3 linked regions of the Mus musculus genome follow. The protein of the gene in region 3 interacts with the protein of the main gene of each other region in a biochemical or structural test. Links are inferred from orthologs where the notes say so. Each region holds a gene or a part of one and is shown on either strand. Other genes may lie near its edges.

Region 1 (4,172 bases), on a different chromosome or scaffold from region 3:
ACATCTGCCTTTGCCCTATTAACCTTTTCATTACTTCTGGTGGGTGGTAGGTTAGAATGGAGGTTGAAGCATTTAAGAACCCTTATTAAAGTAAGTTTTGAAAATAAGACAACACCTATAGGCTTATATATTTGAATGCAAACTCTTGAAAAGGATTAGAAGGATTAAGAGGTGTGGCCTTGTTGAAGGAGTATGTCACTGGGGATGAATTTTGGGGTTTCAAAAGCCCATGCCAGGCCCTGTCAGACTGTCTTCTGCCTGCAGATGGGGATAAAGCGCTCTGGCTACTTCTCTAGCACCATGTCTGCTTACATGCGTCCCATGATGATGATAATAATGGACTACCCTCTGAAACTGTAAGCCAGGCTCAGTTAAACCTTTTCTTTAAGTTTTGCCTCGATTATGGTGTCTCTTCACAAAAATGGATCAGTGACCAAGACACCTGGGCATGGGCCTTGCTCTGGAGTGTGGTTGATATACCAATACTCCACTGGAACAAAACAAAACAACAATTTTCCTTTTCCCAGGAGGTATCAATTGCAAACAGCTTCTTGGTTCTGAGTGGGATGGTGTGTCAACTCTCCCATTCTCAGTGCTAGGATCTTGTCTGGTTTGAACCTGTTGCAGGTCTTGTGCATTCCTTCAATCTCTGTAAGTTTAGATGTGCATCAGTGCTCTTATGTCTGGAGGATACTGTTTCCTTGGAGTCATCTACCAACTCTGGGCCCTAGAATCTTTCCTCTTCTGCACAGAATCAAAAAGGCTTAAATTCACTGCATGATGTGACCAACGCCTCCCAAGAGAATCTAAGGTTCCTGAGAGCAAGCGCTCCATCTGCTTTTGTTCACCTGAATCCCCATCATCCTCAACAGTGTCTGATGCTAGGGCAGGTGCAACTGTATTACACTGAGCACACGTGGAATGAAGCACTGCTTCTGTTCATCTTCAGGAAGTCCTCCTTTTCTGCTCCTTCACTAGCCCATCCTAATTCTTGTAATTCTCAGTCTCAAAGATGCCTTCTTTCTGCACTCTGACTTCTTAAACACACGGTCTGATTGGAAGAGAGGAAGTTTCAGAAGGCAAGAATTCTGGTAAATATTGCCTTAAACTTCAAACTCATAAAAATCAGTACTAACTGAAAGAATCTAGCTCTTTATAGAGTTACTTAATACAATGGGTTTGCCCATGCCTTGATAATGAAAGTAAGGTGTTTGCTTTTTCCTCAAAACCATTTGTCATGATTAGATTATAAGCTATATAAAAGATTAATTTAACATCCTATCAAATGACCTGGGCGTCGAGGTTCACACTGCAATCCGAGAACAGGGGGAGGCTAAGGAAGAAAGACCAGTTTTTAGGCAGAACGGTTTGGAGCCTGCTTGGTGACAATTCCTCTTCTCACCAATAGTCCTATGGATGTAAGACCACCTACAGTCCACCAGTTTCCATGGAGAACAGCTCTGGTACAGAAGTACAATATGAGTTTGTGGCCAGCGTCTCTACACAGGTAGTGAGTTCTGGGGTAACCAAGTTACACAGTGAGAACTTGTCTCAGAAACAAAACCAAAAAAACCCTGAAATCATGTCAAGTGGACCATGGGGATGTCTGAAAAGATGGAGCAGACACAGCACTGTTACTTTAACAGATTTAAAACTGACAGACAAGATTTCTGCCGAGTTTTCTGCCGAGGCCCATGATAAGTACTGATGTTCACACAGTGCCTTATATGAGGCAGACACTATCATAAACTCACTATGTAGACGTAGATTTGAACAAAGTTACATACTTTGTAACTCAATGTCTAACGTTATAATGGGAAACCATTGCATTCAGTACTTTGAGACCATTTCTCATATTTCGAAGGGCAAAAGAATGACAGAGTAGTCCAGACAAATGCCATTTCAATTTCCTATTTAATAAAAATATTATGACTCCCACAGCCTCTCTTCCAGACACAGATTTCTGAAATCAACCTAGTGTTTGCCTTTCCCAGACACATAGAAATGAAGATACAACACAGAATGTGAAAATGTGCTAATAACTGAAAAGCCAGAAAGAGTCTTTCTCTGATCTCTTCATTCCAGGAGCCTGTCCTGTTCTGGTCTGCAAAGGACATTTCATTTGAACAGCCGCTTTTAGGCTGAAAGGGTTGGTATCTGTTCAGGTGACAATTCCTCTTCTCATCACAGGGTCCACGACAGTCTTGATCTGAGCGCCTGCATCCACAACTAGTTTCTGGTAGAGAACAGCTCTGGTGCAGATGTACGGTTCCCCAGGGACGGGGTTAAAGGAGATTGTCAACAAGTCCAACGAGTCCACCCCTTCTACGCAGGGCCGAGCAGTCGCTGTGCAGCCCTCGGTGCAGCCCGCCGGGCAGCGCACTCTCCTCCCGCGGCATTTCTGCCCGGCCTTCCCCAACCTCCCCTACTGCACTGCCAGTCCTTGGTCACCCACCGTCCAGTCCATCCCGTCCTGAGTCTCCAGACTCGGTCCCCGGCTCTCACCCACCTCCCGCCACCCTCACCTCTCGTTCGCCGCCGGCCCGGGTGTGTCGGCCGGAAGCCCCGCGGCAGGTTCCTCGCTGAGCATTGAGACCCTGCGGCTTCTCCTCCGAGGTCGGGGCTGCTTCTGAGCCGCCGGCTCTGGCTCCATGTCCGGAGAAGGGGGGTTGGTGGGGCGGTGGCCCAGTGCCCAGGAGACCGATCGTGGCGGGCACAATGCCCGCCAGCTTCTGCGAGGCAGCAAGTCGCCTTCTAGCAGAGAGCGGCTACCGCCGTCATCCGGGGATTTGAAAATGGCGGCTGCCCAGAGATCGGCCAATCAGAGAGTGGGAAGCGGTTGCTAGGCTACGTGGAGTCCCGCCCTAATCAGAAGACTTCATACCAAACTTTTAGGAGCTCCAGTGACAAAGGGAAAGTGGTAAGGTGAAAGTTAGGAATTTGGGGATTTATTTTAACTACACACCTTACTCCTGAAAGGCAGTCTCTATTCACTAGAACTTTCACTTGCAGGGCAGGAAAATGGATCGGAAGCTGTTTATCATTTGTTGTTGTTTAGCGTTAGACAGGATGAAGGTATTGACCCCAAAGCAAGAGGCAGTTGGACGTATAAACACTAAGTTATACATGTGGAATATATTCCCAATTGCCAAAGACAATACTTTGTTCTCCAGGATGTCTCTAGAGAACCAGTGAAATCTAGTTATGTACTCCTGTCTTTCAGTAAGTAGGACACAGTCGCTTTACCGAATGGAAAGGGCTGCTTTCTCTGCTTGCAAGACTGCAAAACGTGCAGCATGAAACAAGGGACCCTGCTCAGGTTATTATGTGAAGATTGGTAAATAAAAACGTTCTCTGATTTTAAATATCGCTAATGGTCTTAAATGTAGTCTCTCTTGTATACAGGGAGATATTAATGATGTTGTGTATAATAGAAAAATTAAAGGCAATCTAAATGAATGACTGGGAGATGTCTAAATATAACTGATTAACTGTGAAGACTGCATTCAGCCGATAAAGAAATGGTCTTCTTCAGGGAATACCATTGGTTAGCCAATACTAACAGCTAGCCCTGAAAACATACAAATAACATCATACAGACTGAGCTGGCTGTATTTGTGTATTTAGGAACATATATGTATAACATATTGTTACATATTGACTATGTAACAATAATTAATAAAAAGAGTCCATGAATGTGAAAGATAGCAAGAAGGGGTATAGGAGAGAGTTGGGAAGGAGAAAAGAGAAGGGAGAAAATGGTGTGATTATATTATAATCTTGAAAATAAAAGAAAATTAAAAATAAGAGGTATATAGTAAAACAAAACATTGTGATTTTAACTGAAAGCATAAAATATGAAATATAGAACAATGATGGCTAGTTTTATGTCAATTTAGAAAAATTCTGTTTTAGGGTTTTACTGCTGTGAACAGACACCATGAAAGAGACAGCCCTTATAAGGACAATATTTAATTGGGGCTGGAATACAGATTCAGTCCATTATCATCAAGGCAGGAACATGGCAGCATCCAGGCAGGCATGGTACAGGAAGAGCTGAGAGTTCTATATCTTCATCTGAAGGCTGCTAGCAGAATACTGGCTTCCAGGCAGATAGAACAAGGGTATTCAAGCTCACACCCACAGTGACACACTTACTCCAACAAGGCCAT
Region 2 (3,986 bases), on a different chromosome or scaffold from region 3:
AGAGTATAAAAAGTAACTTCCCAATAAACCATCAACTCAATAACATAATAGACAAGAGAAACTGAGTTTGAATTTTATTTTAGCTTTTTAAAGATCTGCCCACCTCCCCATCCCAGTAAAAATATTTAATTTTTTTTGTGCAAGTTAACAACTTCTATGAATTTTACAATGCCTAACACTGTGCAAAATGGCCTTCCAACCACTGCCTTTTTTTTTTTTTTTTGCCGTCTTTGTTTTTAGCCACATGTGCAATAATCTCAACTGTTTCCTTTTTGTTCTGTCCTATCTTTAGTTGACAGAGTCACATGTCACAGAGAGAGACTCAGCGCCTGGTCCTTCCAACTAGTATTGATACATAAATAAGCTGTTTAATATAAACAAGTCTTTCTATCTTGCTGTGCAATATGCACAGAGTGAGGTAGAGGACCCACAGCAGGACCACCGAGGCGCGCAGGGCACAAGGTTTGCCCTCTAGGAGAAAGCAAGGTGAACCGTGCTCCACACATAGTTTCTCGAAACCAGATTTGTCTGTTTCGCATCCTTCTTTTCCCTTTGCTTTAAGAACAGGAGACACCAGTACTCCGGAATTAGTATGCAATTTCTTTAGAAAGCAAAGGGAAACACTTCCTGGCTAATTATCACCGGCCCCGCCCCCACACCAAACCTGAGCTGAATACTTAGGTTCCTAGGTGTGGAACCGGAAAGCCAGGTGATAGACTCCATCCTGCCCCCTCCCCTCCCCGCCTAGTTTCCACTCGGGTCCTTGCAGAAAGTGTCAAAACCCACCTAGGGGCGGGGGGGGGGGGGAATGCCTGAAGGTGCATTAAACACACGAAAGGCCGAACCTCAGAGAGAAAGGAACTCAAGACAAGCCAGTAAGCCATACTAAGCCACACTCTCCCAACTCCTCCTAAACTTTCCTTTTTGCGCAAACGCTCGGTCCGGGGCTTTTCTGTACGTCTCGGATGATTCGATAGATCTGTGGGCTTTGCATTCACCTGCTTTCGGTCTTGAGTAAACAGAGATCTCCTCTCTCCCCTGGGGAGCGGCTCAGGGGCGCCCAGGCGGGCTCTCTTCCTCTAGGGATGCAGAGCCCGTGTCCAGCCCGGGACTATGGGGAGCGGCGTCCGTGCGCCCAGAGAGCCTGGCTCTCTACACCTTGGACTCCGAGGAGAAGCCCTGGCGCCCCGGCTCGTCCAGGCTCGAATCGCTGTCCACAGTGGTTGTCCCGCCGTTGCAGCCGGTCCAGGGCTCCAGCAGGCGCGCCGGTGGGGTGGTCCCGGCGTCGTCGTCGTCGTCGTCCGAGGGAGCTCCGGGGGACGGCGGCGGCCCAGCTCTCGCCAGGCAGCCGGAGGCGCGCGGCCGGTCCCCGTGGGCTGCGCGGCGTCTGCAGGCGGCCCGGCGCGCGCAGCAGAGCAGGCGCTGGAAAGCCTTGCGGAAGTCGGGGCTGCGGCAGTAGATGATGGGGTTGAAGGCCGAGTTGGCGTAGCCCAGCCAGTTGAAGAAGACGAAGAGGCGATCCGGCACCAGGTCGCGGTGGAAAGCCTTCACCACGTTGGCCAGGAAGAAGGGCAGCCAGCAGAGCGTGAACACACCCATGATGATGCCCAGTGTCTTGAGCGCCTTCTGCTCGCGCAGAGCCACGAGGCGCGACGGCCGCCGCTTGCTGGAGCGCCCGTTGGCCAGCGAGTCTGCGGGGCGCGGTGGCCCAGGTGACGGCGAGGGCTCAGGCGAGGGCGGCCGGGCTGGGCCGCCGAGGAAGCGGCGCTCGCAGCTGTCGATCTTCTTTACCTGTTTTTGGGCCTCGCGGAACACCCGCAGGTACACGAAGGCCATGATGCACAGGGGCACGTAGAAGGAGACGACGGACGAGGCGATGGCGTAGGCCCTGTTGGTGACGAAATCGCAGCACTTGGGGTCGTTGTAGCAGCGGCGCGCTTCGTCGCTCTCGGCCCGCCACCAGTGCATGAGGATGGGCAGGAAGGACACCAACGCCGAGATGGCCCACACTGTGCACACGAGGGCCCGCGCTCGCGCGCGCGTCAGCAAACTCTGGTAGCGAAAGGGCGACGTGATGGCGAGGTAGCGGTCCAGGGCGATGACACACAGGGTCTCAATGCTGGCCGTCACACACAGCACATCTACCGAAGTCCAGAGCTCGCAGAAGAAGGAGCCGTACTCCCAGCGGCCCCACACCACGATGGTGGCCCCGAAAGGCACCACCAGCAATCCCATGACCAGATCAGCGCTGGCCAGGGACATGATGAAGAGGTTGGTGAGCGTCTGCAGCCGCGGGGTCTTGGCGATGGCCACGATCACCAGCACGTTACCCACCACGATGAGCAGAACGATGAGCGCCAGCAGTAGGCCCATACCCGCGGTCCACTGCTGCGACAGCGGCGCTGAGCCCTCGCTGGCTGGAGGCAGCAGCGAGGCGGGAGGCGACGCGAGCACCAGCAGCCGCGCCGCGGTGGCCGCACCGTCGGGCAGCGGCGCGGCGGACGACAGGTTGCAGGGTTCGGAGGCGCCCAGGGCGAGCGCCCCCGCGCCCATGCCGAGCTGCGGAGGCCGGGGGCGGGGGGTGTGGCGGGGCTGGGCCGCGCCTGGGGAGCACCCCAGGAGCCGGGGCTGCGGGGCCCGCGCGGGGAGGTCGCGGCCAGGTCAGGGCAGCCGCGGCTCGGGGCCGGAGGCATGGACGCCGGGCGCCTTCTCCTCCGTAGCCGAGCGCTGTCTCCGCCGCCGCCGCCGCCGCTGCTGCTGGAGCCGCTGTCGCTGCTGGAAGAGCCGCCGGGACCTCAGCATGTTTCTGAGCGCGCGGGGCCGGCGGCTCCAACACCCAGCACCTCCCCCCCCCCCTTCGCTGCCACCCCCCCAGCCAGCCCCCGGGGCCGCGCGTCAGGCTCCCGCAGCCAATCGCCGCCAAGGCACGCCCCCGACAATGGTGCCCCCACCCCCAACACCCAGCACCCCCTCCTACCCGCGATTGAAAGGCTCCAAAGATTGCGGGCGGACTACGCAGCCAGCACCCACGGGCTGCAGCGAGCGCGCCCTTTCCTGCTCAGGCTTCTTCCAGAGTCTAGTCTGCGGCGCCCCCTGCGGCGCCCCGCCGCCTCCTGTGCCCCCCGCCAACCAGTAGTCTCCGTTAACCTTAGCACCCAGCTCTCCTTTTGCCGCTCCCGCAAGAGCGCCCTTATTTCCCTTCGGCACCCCGTAGTTCCCTCGCCTCTAGTGCCCGGTTCCTGGTAGCTATAAGAGAACCTTACAGGCGTCTCGGAGACGCAGGAGTGCCTTGGACAGCCTATCTGCTGGGATTGGAGGAATTTAGCTGTGAGACTGGGGTTCTGCCATCAGGCAGCCTGGCTCTTCCCTGATCGCGAGGGGACCTGGCCAGCATGACAGCTTGGGGGAATAGGAAGTGGGTGTTAGTGATTAGAGGAAACTTTGCAGCCAGGCGGGTTGCTGGAGCAGGGTACGCATCTGTCAGAAAGGCTCTCTGGGCGCTGTTCTCGCGCGGAGCTGTGCTCTCTCCTTCAAGTGCAGTAGATGGGGAAAGGAAGGGAAGGTTTGTGGATGTAACTGCCAACACCGAGGACCAGTCGGATACACACACAGGCCCCAGTCCCAGCTAAAGAAAAGGATGAAAGAGTTCTGAATATAAAGGAGAAGTTTAGGGCAACATTCAGTCCAGGGTAAATGACGTCGCCCCACCCCCACGCCCCTCGTGGAAAGAACACGGAGAATGACGCTTCAGACTTTTTGACTCCAGTACCAACACCTTAACATCCGCATCTGTGCTCCGTTACCCATGGGATTTTGCAATCTGAGCTGAGCCAACACAAGGTGCTATCCCTTTTGGGTTGACGTCATGAACTGGGATTTCAGATTTCTTGGGAGGGTGGCTAGATTCTCAAAACTGTGGGATTAGCTTTGGGAAGATGAGGGAAGAAAATATATACATACTCAAGGCGATTAAATCTGAAAGCATT
Region 3 (4,351 bases):
TTCAAATAATCAGGAGCAAGACGGTTTTTTGTGTGTAGCCAGTCTTAGGGAGCCCAGGCCATCCTCTCCTAGACTTTGCCTTGAATTCTTGGTCCCCATGCCTCAGCCTCACAAGTACCAGGATTACAGATGTAAAACGCCAGGCCCTCATTCTTATTAACTTAGAATAGCTCTCTAGAAACAGGGCTTGAAGAGCTTAAATGTATGCTTATGTTCTAGAGAGGGGATTACAACCCCAACCACTAAGGACTCTGACACCCCCCCCCCCCCCAGTTATCAGACTGTGAAATTTTATATGCCACCATAAATTATTTACTTTGCAAGTTTCCAGTGCCTATGTATTATTTCTAACAACTCTGTGTGTGAGGTGGGGTGGGGTGGGGGTGGGGGTGGAGGAGGGGGTGGGGGTGGGGGTGGGAGTGATTGTATTCCTCCAGCCTTGGCAAGTGGAAGGTCTTCACTTAATGTTGTACTTAAGATGCCTGCGGAATCTGAACTTCAGACCTATCCTCTCGACCCACCTCAGTGACATCCTCATCTCTCTGAGTGGCTCCAACTCAGCTCCTTTTATCTAGTAGATTCTCAAGTCCGTGACCAAAGAGGAACTCATTGGAAACCACTGAAAAATAAACAAAACCGCTAGGGCCACCACTGCACTGGCTTCTTGGCGGTGGGGGCTGTTCTTTCTGTCCCGGCCTCACCAGTGCCCCGATTACTGGACCCCGCCTCTGGGCGGCGAATTCCGAGGTGGCCGGCTCGCCCACGCTTGTGCAGGACCCGCACCCTGCGGTGATCTTTACTCCCCAAAGCAGTGCTTAGGTTTCTCGGCTCTCCTAGAAGCCAAAGGGGGCTGGCCACCGCCGCCCCCTTTGCTGGAAGGACAATGAGAGGCCAGCGAGAAGTCTTAGGTAAAAAGGCCACGCTAGCTTTGGCTTTTCTCGCTCGCTGGCAGTTTTTTCCTTGTCCTAAAAAGTTGGCCCCAAAGTTTAACGATGGGAGCGTATGTGTAGGTGCGTTTGGTGGGCGCGGACAGGGATGCAGAGGGTGTGTGGGTCTTGTTGATTCGGGTCCTCAGGGTCACAGAGACAAGAGCCAGGCTCCGCATGTGGACTTGAACCCCTGGGCGGGGAGCAGGCGCGGAAATGTGGCGGAAGGCGCGTGAGCGATGGCGTGGCCAGGCACTAGCGGAGGACGAGGAGGGACCCGGGTAGGCAGCAAGAGTGTGAGCCCCGCGCTGAATTGGTCTCCCAGCCCCCACCTGTTTGAAACGATTTGCAAACACCAAAGCCAAATTCTCTGTGTTCCAAAAGTTCGAGAGCTGGAGTCGGGCAAGCACACGTGTTCCCCCAAAAGGCTCTGGCTGAGCCGACCACACTGCAAGAGGAGGAATTCTAGGGGTGCAGGGAGAGGAGCAAGTTGGCGTCAATGAAGGGTCGGCCCTAGGACCCCGCGGGAGGCGCGTTGGAATCTCTCCCTTCCAGGAGGAGGGGTGGGGCGGGCCTGCCCGCGGGCGGCCGCCGGGCGCATGCGCGCGCGTCTCCTCTCCAGCCGGCCGCTGCGCTCCGCCGCGCGGAGTAGAATGAACTGTAACAAAACAAGCCGAGCCTTTGTATCTGCTTAAAGGGGCCGCGGCCACTTCCCTCGCGTCCCCTCACCCCCGCCCCGCGCCGTCGCGTCTCCAGGGCTCCCGGCAACTAGCTTGGAAAGGGCTTCCCTCGCGCTGAGGAGCGGCCGGCCGGCGCGGAGCAGGCGCGGCGTGTGTGGAGAGAGCCGCGGAGCGGAGAGCGGGCCCGGGCGGCGCCGGAGTGGACTCTGGTCCCGGGAGCGCGGTCGGCGCCGGAACGCGGACCCGGAGGCACCGGAATGCAAACAAAGCTCGCGGGCGCCCGTGCAGGGCTCTTCACGGAGCCCGGAAAGTTTGTTTTATGATGGCTTGAGAGCGCGAGAGAGTCGGGCGAGGAGGCTCGAGTAGCTCGCTCCCGCGCTCCGAGAGATGCTTCTCCCGTGAGCCCGCCGCTCCGGGGGCTCGTGCTGTGGGGGCACCTGTCTCTCGTTTTAGCAGTTTTCTTTTCTTTTTCTTTTTTTCTTTAATTTGAATTTTGTTTTCGAGGAGGGGCTGTAACTCATCATGTCGAAAGTGATCCAGAAGAAGAACCACTGGACTGGCCGCGTTCACGAGTGCACCGTGAAGCGGGGACCCCAGGGCGAGCTGGGGGTGACGGTCCTGGGGGGCGCGGAGCATGGGGAGTTTCCGTACGTGGGGGCGGTGGCGGCGGCCGAGGCGGCGGGGCTTCCCGGCGGTGGCGAGGGGCCGAAGCTGGCCGAAGGTGAGCTGCTGCTGGAGGTGCAGGGGGTCCGGGTGTCCGGCTTGCCCCGCTATGACGTGCTGGGAGTCATCGACAGCTGCAAGGAGGCCGTCACCTTCAAAGCCGTCAGACAAGGTAAGACGGGGCGTGCCTTTGGGGGGCGCACCCCGAAAAAGAGGGGAGGCCTGAGGGGGCGCCGTTTGCTCCGAGTGCTGTGAGCCAAAGTTGAGGCCCGGACCAGATGCACTCAAAGTTGTGAGGTTGTGGGCTGTGCGCCCACCTGCGTGGCGGGCTGGGGCCGGGGTTGCGCCGGGAAGCGGGGAGATGCTTCCCAGGTCTGGTTTGCCAACTTCTAGGTCGTAGCCACCTAGTGCTGCGCAGCCTCGCCTTCACCTTAAGGCAGATGGGGAACTGAGGGAGGCTAAGGTGGACGCTTCCCCCAGCCCCTTACGGGATGGATGAGCTCACGGAGCTGGTGGCTTGCCACTGCCTGTTTCCCTGAACTGGAGAGTGGGTCGTGGAAGGAGAGGGTCTATTTATGGTTGATTGGAATTCTTCCATCACAGAATTTGCCTTCATCCTGCAACCCCTCCAGGTGGGGCTGGGTTATAACCCACTGGAGTCCTTAATCCAGCCTCCTGCAGAGCCCGCAATCACCCCACAGCGGGGTGACGTCTGTGTCTCCTCCTTGTGGAGACCTACGGTGGGGGAAGGGGTGATTAGCGCTTGGCGCGAATCTAGTCCAAGTTTACCCAGCCACCTCCTCCTCTTGCACCGTCGTCCTTATTGATGATGGTTGTTGAGAGTTACAATTCATTGTTAGCGTGTTATGTGAGAGGCTGTCTGTAAAGTGGTTTAATTGCATTATCTCATTCTGATTCACATCAATGCTATAAGAACGACTCGGTTTTTGTAAGTCCTATATTACAATAAGTAAGCCGGGTCTGACCTTAGGTAAATGACTTGCCCAAGGTCACACAACTACCAAAAGTGTATGGGTCTTTTTTTGTTAAACCTTGAGCAAGGAGGAGGAGGGCTTGAGGGGACGACTTTCGGGACCTGAGTTTTGGGGTGGGGGTGGGGAAGCAAATCCTCCCCTAGAAGTCTGTAGGATAAGGATGGCTTTCTGTAGGGTAAGGATGGCCGTGGGAGAGTACTCCCTCGCAGTTTGGTCTGAGCAATGGTCTGATCCTGTAGCTAGCCACCGGAGCATAGCTGCAGTCCTTAGAGGCATCCCTCCTGCACCCAAGTGCTGTGACGCAGGTTCTCCCAGATGAAAGCACCAGAGGAGGTGGCAGAGTTGAATGTGGTGAAAAGTTGCCATATGTTCCTGTCAGGATGGCAGCAGCTGAAGGAAACGTGTCAAAGGAAAGCGGGGAGAGCCAGCGCTCTCAGCAGCAGGCCGCTTCCAGATGACCGGAGGATGAGCGCAGTACTGTGTGCGGGGAGCCTAGTAGCCAGGCCTTTCTATCCTGTTGGGAGCGCAGAGGCTGACACCTAACAGTGGAATGTCCATATCCTGCTACTTGGCCTTGCTTGATGAATCTGTCCTTAGGAGTTTCTGGTAAAATCATAACCGAGGAAGTGTGCTGGTTCACAGTAAGTGCTCAGGAAAAGCGAGTTGTATTGGAGTTGGATTTAAGCAGTTAGCAATTCAGTTTTTAGCTAGGAATTTAATGCCAGTTCCCCGGGTGTTTATGACTTGGTAGAGCTGTTGAGATAACACTGTGACAGGCATTTATTTATTGGGGGAGGGGGGCAGCATTGGGTTTGAGTTCAGGCTCATTTTGCAGAAAGATTTCTCATCCGGCAGGATGGCAGGATGTCTGGGTGGTGGTAAATGGGTCCTAAGACTTGTTGACCATGGGCAAGAAGCTTCCAGAAGCTGAGCTCTTCCACTATTTTGCAGAGACCCTGGAGCTAGCTAGTACCCCTTCTCCCTCTCCACTCTCCCTTCCTCTCTCTCACCCCTCTGTGTGCACTTTAGTGGTGGTGGTGGGAGATGCCTGTGGATTTGACAGTTATTATAGTGCCTTCAGGTGTCC

The links.
Region 1: the proteins of Magi1 (region 3) and Net1 form a complex in vitro, tested with the Homo sapiens proteins (3 studies listed by BioGRID and IntAct, with this or other methods). The link is inferred for Mus musculus from reciprocal best matches to the Homo sapiens genes MAGI1 and NET1.
Region 2: the proteins of Magi1 (region 3) and Adrb1 interact in a test that uses a peptide from one of them, tested with the Homo sapiens proteins (2 studies listed by IntAct). The link is inferred for Mus musculus from reciprocal best matches to the Homo sapiens genes MAGI1 and ADRB1.

The regions. Positions count from the first base shown.
Region 1 is NC_000079.6:3,915,413-3,919,584, forward strand, and holds the start of Net1 (neuroepithelial cell-transforming gene 1 protein), read right to left. Parts: upstream 2,809-4,172; 5' UTR 2,654-2,808; coding exon 2,526-2,653; intron 1-2,525. UniProt on the Homo sapiens protein: Acts as a guanine nucleotide exchange factor (GEF) for RhoA GTPase. May be involved in activation of the SAPK/JNK pathway Stimulates genotoxic stress-induced RHOB activity in breast cancer cells leading to their cell death.
Region 2 is NC_000085.6:56,720,939-56,724,924, reverse strand, and holds the start of Adrb1 (beta-1 adrenergic receptor), read right to left. Parts: upstream 2,809-3,986; 5' UTR 2,554-2,808; coding exon 1,153-2,553; 3' UTR 1-1,152. UniProt on the Homo sapiens protein: Beta-adrenergic receptors mediate the catecholamine-induced activation of adenylate cyclase through the action of G proteins. This receptor binds epinephrine and norepinephrine with approximately equal affinity.
Region 3 is NC_000072.6:94,281,100-94,285,450, reverse strand, and holds the start of Magi1 (membrane-associated guanylate kinase, WW and PDZ domain-containing protein 1), read left to right. Parts: upstream 1-1,533; 5' UTR 1,534-2,128; coding exon 2,129-2,441; intron 2,442-4,351. UniProt on the Homo sapiens protein: Plays a role in coupling actin fibers to cell junctions in endothelial cells, via its interaction with AMOTL2 and CDH5. May regulate acid-induced ASIC3 currents by modulating its expression at the cell surface.